Drosophila melanogaster: one gene and its partner. The protein of the gene in region 1 interacts with the protein of each later gene in a pairwise test. Each region holds a gene or a part of one and is shown on either strand. Other genes may lie near its edges. The genes, in order: CG31909 and Sas10.

Region 1 (3,504 bases):
CTGAAGTAACGTGATGGATCGAATTTTTATAGCGACAGTACGCTAATTGTTCAAATGTTTGCACGGCTGCACATCACTGTTGAGTGCCGAACGAAAATTTAATTAAAAGTTTATTTTTAGGTCTGCTCTGATTTTCGCAAGGACTTTAGTTTCTAACTATAAAGTTACTCTCTAACTTAAATTAGACAAACCCGCAATAAAAGATCATTGGAGTATTTATTTTTATGTGAAACTTTATATTTCATTTCAGTTTTGTATTTTTTTTGGTTTGTTTTGTATGTTTAAATACTTATTAAAATTGTTTTTGTTTTTTGTTTTTATTTTTCGTTTTTGTTGCTGTGTGTTTTGTTAGCTTCTGCTTTTCTGTTGTTCTTTGTGTGTGTGTCCGTGTTTTTTTGTTGGTTTTCCGTTTTGCTAAATAAAGTTTTGCGATTTTTTTTTGAGATTTTTTCTTTGCGACGGTAGCTAATGTTTACTATATATTATATAGTAATTAAATAGATAGATGCATGTATGCGCTTGTGTGTGTCTGTGTGACTGTGTGTGTCTATGCATTTGAGTATGTGTGTGTGTGTGTGTGAGCTGGTGAGTTTGGCCTTTAGCTAAGCCTTAGCTTTCTGATCGATCTCTATCGTTCTGCATTCGTTCTTTTTGCTTATCATTTCAGTAATATTTGTTAGGAATGGAAAAAAATTACAAGCCATAAAGGTAGAAAAAAACTTTACAAATTACATTTTCAAAGAGCACAGTAGAGGGATAGAAAGTGACGGAGACGGGGCAAAGAAAGTCTGCGAGAGATGGCACCCCGTCTATTTACAAAAGTATTTGTTCTCCAGCCGCTGGCAGTAGTCGCAGATCAGCTGACAGCACCGTCCATTGTTGAACCGGCACCGGCACTTCTCCACCTGCTTAACCACCTGGGTGGTGTAGCCACGCCCACAGCACAGGGTGCCACAGTTGTCCGGATGCAGGCACTGCCGATCCTTGGTGACCGCGCAGTAGGAGGGCGAGGTCTCCAAATAGTACAGCGTGGTGTATTGCGATTGTTGGGGCTGTAAAGGGAAATTACTTATTAGTTTTTTAAGTTTAGGTTCTAAAATATTAACAAAGTCTTTTGTGGTTAAAAGTCTAAACATAAAGATGGACTACCTCGACTATCAGATACCCTTTTCTCCATAGAAACCAATTCCCGTTATAGATCTACCTTTTCGAATGTATTCTACATATAATTCTACATCTACTCTACTTTTCTTTGAAGAACTTACTTTCTTGCGTCGCTGCTTTGGTTTTTTCATGCGACTCGATGACACCTGTCGCATTGATCGCTGGTTTGGCGCCTTGCGAATGGCCTCGTTGTACTTTTGCCTCAAGAGCGTGGCTGTGGCATTGAAGTCGGCCATCTTCTTCCAGCAAGTTTTCATCGAACAGGAGCCGGAGACGCCGTGGCACTTGCACTTGTCCATCATCTGCGAGGAGACAGCTTCGATGCCGACCTGAAAAGAAAGTTTAATTAGCACAGGTATTCTATAAAATATCTCCTTCTGCTCCTTAAAATATATCTCTTTACCTCTGAGTCATGTCGCAATATCTCGCTGACCTCGTCACCATCACCACCGCGCAAGTCCAGGAAGCTGCGTGTCACCCGCTTGCCGTGCTTCAGATTGTCATTGCAGCCGCCCCACTGGAAGTCCTGCGCCTCCCTGTTGTGCTTTTTTGGCCCGCAGCTGCACTTGGTCATACGTCCCTCGGCACAGGCCCTGGCTATCGAGTGGGTCATGGCGGCCGCTGTGAGCGCGTGGACGAAGGCAGTCTCCTTGTAGAGCTTCTTGAAGATGTTCCGCTTTCCGCGCGTCTCGATCGAGCAGTTCCAGCGGTCGTAGCGGAACTGTTCCTCGCAGTGGGTGGTGGCCAGACGGCGGGCCTCGCTAAGGGTTCCCGGCAATCCCGTCTCCTTGCGACACTGGTGGTTCTGACGCCGCGTGGCAGGCATGTATCTGCAGGGTCCACCCACTTGGCCCTGCGAAGTGAACACCGCCATCACCGTGTGCTCCGAAATGAAGTGTTCGCTGGCAGACATAAAGTATTCGAAATTTTTCATAAGAAAAGGTAAAGGTATTCTTAAAAGTCCTTTTTAGAGCTATACCACAATTAAATTACGTTTTTATTATAAAAAAGAGAGAATTCTATAGTCGAACTCCCCGACTATTAGAAAGCCCTTACTCAGCTAGTGGGAACGCAAAATTCTTTCTAATCTAGTATGCACTTTTACTCTACGAGTAAGGGAAAATTTCGAACGGAGAGGCAGTTGTGTTAAGTGTCAAGTCCAAATAGACCCTACAGTCAGAAAACTTATATAGTGCGGTGAGTGAGGTGAGTGAGAAAGTGAGGTTCGATCTTAACATAAAAAAATATTTTTCTGATTTTAAACAAAATAAGATTCTTGGTACGTATGAACACAGAATGAACTGACCATTGTTATATCTAAGCTCATATAATTGCCAGACAACAAGGTGCTGTCACCATCACCAACAAAAAAAATGGAACCCTCGTTTTCCAATACTAACAAATCGGAACTTCAGAACCAACTACGAGTAGAGAGAGCTCTGCAAGATAAATATTTAAAAGAATTTTCTTCAATGGCGGATGAGCTAAATCACTTAATTGATGGCACTACTCCCAGCCATATTGAGACTTATGAATATTTGGACACTGTCGACACTGAAAGCGGTCGTTCTCTCGAAGAAGAGAAAAAGTTAACTAACTTTTTCTATAAATTGAAGAGCGATCTACAGAAATTATATAGAGAAATCGTAGAGAACCCAAAATATTTAAACGAAATCAGGGATTCAACTATTATAAGGGACAATATAGATTTACTGGATGAAGTAGACGCTTTTGAAGGTTCGATGAATATGCTTTGACGGACAGGTGGGATTTGAAAAATGTAAAAAAATTCGGGTGTTACTTTATTTTTTATGGTTAAAAAATAATAAAAGAAACAGGTACCCGTTATTCTTTTACTCTACAAGTATAACAGGTATATTGGATTCGGATTTCTATTAAAGCGACACCTATCTTTGGCTTGCAGATGATTTTTACACAGATTTCAGCGCCCAGTGCGCCATCTAGCAGAACTTGTATGAAGCTTTGTGTGCGAGCAATCGGTAAAAATACCGTTTCAAAGAGAATTTAAATTTTGTGCGCCTACTTAGTTAAACCAATATGTCATTTGAACACTTAATAATTAATTAATAATAATAATTAAATTAAATTTATTAAATTAATTAATTAGCAACCACCAACCTTAGGATTGCACAATCGAAATTCTGAACTACAAAGTTTTTACTGCTAATAATAAACCGGCACATGAGAAACTTTTATTTGATTTATCAAAAGTTACAACACACATGCTAGTATGGCCTTCTCTTATCAGTTTTCTAGAAATAGCAGAAGGAATTTCCCTTGAATTGGTTTCCCATGCCATATCTGTTTCCAGTTATTTCG
Region 2 (4,416 bases), on another chromosome or scaffold:
ATGTTCAAGTTACACTTTTCAAATGATGCAGTTCATCCCTGAGATAAATGATTGGCAAACATGCCAGCTTGATGATTTATGTATGTTCCGTCGTCTGGTTTTGTCCTGTTTTCATCATTCCTGCTCCTGCTTCTGCTTCTGCTCCTGGTTGCCCACTAGAAGTGCGTCATTCATTTTTATTTTGAAATGGATTCAGCGCCTTGGGCACATGGTAATCCCTATGGAACGAATGCGAAATCATCATCATCATCATCATCATCATCATAATCGTGCAGCGGCATAATTAGCGGCTCGACCATCCCAAAAGGCTGCAGTTCGGGCGCATAGCAACAGGACTCCAACTTGATCCGCGACTCGATTAGATCGTTGATGGTGGGCACAAAAGTTTCATCATACGATAGCCGCATAGAGAATATACCCTGAGCGGTATCCAGTTCGCCGACATGGGCATACAATACCCTATTGAATGTCATGCGCTGGAATGCGGTGATACCATTTTTTGGCCACCCATTGGCCAATGGGCGTACGTGCGACATTTTGCCGCGAAATACCAATGGCGGTGTGCGCGCAAAGCTTAGTGGGAGGAATCGTAGATGGTTCGGTGCCAATGTGACAGACAGGGCATGATCCACATACTCTATGTTCACACATTGGGCGTCCAACGGTGCGGTGACGAGCACCATGGCACGTCGCCAGCCACACTCGCTGTAGGCGGCGCATATGTAGCCCTCTTTATAGAAATAGCTAGGCAACTCGGCACGGTAGCTGCTGATCGTCGTATGGCGATAGAACCAGCTATGGGCATTAAATAACAATATTATCAATCAATCAGTCAATCAATCGATTTAGTTAGTAGCTTACTTTAGATCAATGGTCATCTCGGCTACAGGATTCTTGGCGTACTGCGGTGGCACAATGTGGAACCAGAACTCACACGGAGAGAACACCTGCGCAAGAAAAAAAAACAAAAAAAAAAAGATTGAACTCCTATTTCAAAGCTGTCTCTTTGCTTGGCACGGGACCAAAGCGCACTCACACAGCTCATGATGATCGGGAAGATAGAGTCCTCCTTGCAGATATCCTGGATACGCTGCGGCGGCAGCTTCCAGTGCATGCCAACGGCATCCATGGGCAGTCCATACATCAGTGCACACAAACTAACATCACCGATATCCGGGAAATCGGAAAACGACGGTATCAGTTCCTTGACAATGTAACCATCCGTCGTTTTTGATTCGAGTCCATCGCTGTCGCTATCGTTGTCCGATGTCGACGCTAGCAGTGTTTCCACTGACGCAGCAGCTTCTGCCACTTGGCTATTGCTATTCATGAAGTCAGCATTGCCGGTGTGCAGTTCATGCATCTTCATTGGGCCAGGATTGTTCATTGCCTGGCGCTCCGACACGGTGGCTAACAACTGCTCCAATGGCTTTCCATTCACCTGGACATCGGCTACATCCGGCGGCACAACGATGTTGCAAAGCATCTTATCGAAAATTCGCACATGGTGCTGGTCGTCAGTCTCAGCCGTCGGCTTGGAATCGGTTGTTTTTAACTCGAGAGCGATCTTTTAAGGGGCGAAAAACTTATTAGTAATTTCTACAATACATATATGTATATATTTCGACGCACATGTGCTTTTTCGAAAACTTTTTGCAAGTCACTCGAATCGGAAATCACAAGCCGTATTTTGGCATTGGGCTGGCGCAAATCGAGTGCTAATTCAATTGTTCCATTGATCTGCTGTTCAGAATTAGCCGGCTTCTTGGAATCGGTAGTTTTTTCCTCCAAAGCGATCTTTTAGAGGAAATTACTTATTAGTATTAACTAAGCATACATGTGTAATTTGAATTTACGTACATCTTCGACAACTTTTAGCATGTCACTCAAATCGGCTAACACTTTGTTATTCCGCATTTTGGCACTGGGGCAGCGCAAATCGAGCGGCACATCATTGTTATCCTCGGCTTCTTCCGAAATTTTTCTCAATTTCGAGAGCAAAGTTTGAAGTCTTCCTTCTTTGACGTCCATCTTGCTTTGCATCCTGATTTTAACTGAATTTCAATTGTGGAACTTTTCCCATGTGGCATCACCGCCGTAAGCTAGACGCTAGAGATGGCAAATGCGCCATCCGCGAAATCCACCACACCAATCGGTCATTGGCGGCTATCGAACGTGTTATCGAGCCGTTTGTTTACGCACGTGTTGTGTTTGATTTAATTTAGTTTTAATTTGTATTTAAACGCACAGAGAGCAGCTAGCAAATGGACAGCGACGGTGACGACTACGTGATGAGCGGCTCCGACCAGGAGTACGATGACGAGGAGCGCGAAATACTCGAAGATCTGCGCAAGCAGCGCAAAAAGCCACATGATCCCGTCCAGGAAGTGCTCGGTTTCAGTGATGATGACGACGACGACGACGACGACGACGAGGAGGAGCAGCAGGATGTGGCGGAACTGATGCGCGACAGTGACATCGAGGGCGCCGAAGACGATGACCGCGATCTGCCCAACACCATGGACTGGGGCAGCAAACGGAGCACGTACTACAACACCGACTTTGTGGACCAGGACTACAGCAGCTACAATGCCCAGGAGGAGGAGCAGGCACGCGCCGAGGAGGAGGAGGCCAAAAAGATCCAGCTGCGTCTGGCCAAGCGCATGAGCGAGGCCGATTTCCAGCTGGACAATGTAGAAGCAGCGCCCGCAGGCAGCAGTGATGACAACGAGCTGAGCCATATAACCAAAGTGACCAGCGATCTGGCCGGCCTATCAGAACGCGAGCGACGACAGCTGATGCACAGTGAGTCGCCGGAGTTCATCATTCTCACCCAGGATTTTCAACAGCATCTCGACGAGGTGAAGAACCTATTGAAACCGGTGCTCAACTACGTTCGCAAACACGATGTGCCCATGGTGCCGGCGCTGCAATATGCCGGACTCTGCCACACCGTGCTCACCACCTACTGCTCCAATGTGGCTTTCTATCTGCTGCTCAAGGCACGTCGCATCGACGTCAAGGCCCATCCGGTGATTAGGCGGCTGGTGCAACTCAAGGATCTGATCGAGGAGCTTAAGCCGCGCTACGAGGAATACATTCGACCGCAGCTGGAGGCGCTGCTGGAGAGGATTGAAGATGGCGATGCATTCACCGTGCTGGATGTGGCACAGCGCAAGGCTAAGCTGCAGATACTCAACAAGTACAACGATGGCCAGCAGGCGTCAGTGAGCTCCGATGATGATGATAATGATGACGATGACGATGCTGAGAGTAAGGAGAAGGATCTGCAAGAGGAGGCTGGTGAGGAGGAGGAAGAGGAGGATGCGCGACGCGGCATCACCTATCAGATGGCCAAGAACAAGGGCCTCACGCCGCACCGCAAAAAGGAGCTGCGCAATCCGCGCGTTAAGCATCGCGGCAAATACCGAAAGGCGCTCATCCGGCGCAAGGGAGCCGTGCGCACGGTGCGCAAGGAGCTGCAGCGCTACGGCGGCGAATTGTCCGGCATCAAGGCCGGCGTCACGAAGAGCGTCAAGTTCCGCACCTAGTTTTTATCCAATAAATCCGCCAAGATCATTACATTTTAATCAACTCGATGTTTGTACACTTGAAACACCCATTTCATCCAAAGACTCACCGGGGATTAGTCAACTAGCTGTCATATGCGAAACAAACAAACATTTTTCTTCACTTGGTTCATCAAGAAACCAATTTATATGAGTCGAAACAAAAATCATTGTCTTACAACAGTTTTTCTCTTTGTACAGTGTTCTCCAACCTTGTCTGTTTAGGTTGCCTTAAATCTAAAAAAATATATGCTCCAAATCTTCGTCTTCGTCTTACAAACTAAACCATGGCCGCTGGCACCGGGCTCAGCCGCCGGCATTTGTCGCCTAATCCTTGAGAAATAGCTTGCGAAAGTCATCGTTTGACTTGGGCACAGCAGCTGGCATCTCCTCTTCTTTTTTCTCATCTCCCTTTTGCTCCACTCCACTTTGCTCCTCTCCTATTTGATCATCTCCTTTTTGCTCCTCTCCTTTTGGCTCCTCTCCTTTTTGCTCCTCTCCTTTTTGCTCCTCTCCTTTTTGCTCATCTCGTTCTTGAACATCTCCTTTTTGCTCCTCTCCATTAGCCTCGCGCTTGATGGCCACGTCGACGGATGCCGAAGTGGATGATATGTCCCCCGGCTCGGGCAGAAGCAAGCGCAGCTTCTTGGCAGCCACCTCTTGGCGCACCAGAGTCGTGGGTATAAGCGAGGTGGGCACACGTCGCTTGGGCGCCACACTTGGCTTGACAGCTGATGTGCCCCTCGGCGGTGGGTTTGAAATGGCCACAGAGATCTGAAAGAGTTGTGAAATGCATTTGCTTTGGTTGGTTCGGTTAAACATGAAGGCACACATCATTCGCTTACAT

Evidence for each region.
Region 2: the proteins of CG31909 (region 1) and Sas10 interact in a two-hybrid assay, tested with the Drosophila melanogaster proteins (one large-scale study listed by BioGRID).

The regions. Positions count from the first base shown.
Region 1 is NT_033779.5:7,255,195-7,258,698, forward strand, and holds CG31909 (uncharacterized protein), read left to right. Parts: upstream 1-2,317; 5' UTR 2,318-2,370; exon of another isoform or gene 2,371-2,443; intron 2,444-2,502; 5' UTR 2,503-2,537; coding exon 2,538-2,921; 3' UTR 2,922-3,004; downstream 3,005-3,504. Other genes in the region: Wnt4 (Wnt oncogene analog 4), read right to left, coding at 810-1,052, 1,266-1,493, 1,568-2,066.
Region 2 is NC_004354.4:5,315,240-5,319,655, forward strand, and holds Sas10 (something about silencing 10), read left to right. Parts: upstream 1-2,169; 5' UTR 2,170-2,264; coding exon 2,265-3,551; 3' UTR 3,552-3,832; downstream 3,833-4,416. Other genes in the region: CG15930 (uncharacterized protein), read right to left, coding at 219-795, 862-947, 1,037-1,567, 1,633-1,797, 1,861-2,043; Rnp4F (RNA-binding protein 4F), read right to left, coding at 3,897-4,343, 4,415-4,416. UniProt on the Drosophila melanogaster protein: Essential for gene silencing: has a role in the structure of silenced chromatin. May be involved in gene regulation during development. Binds RNA.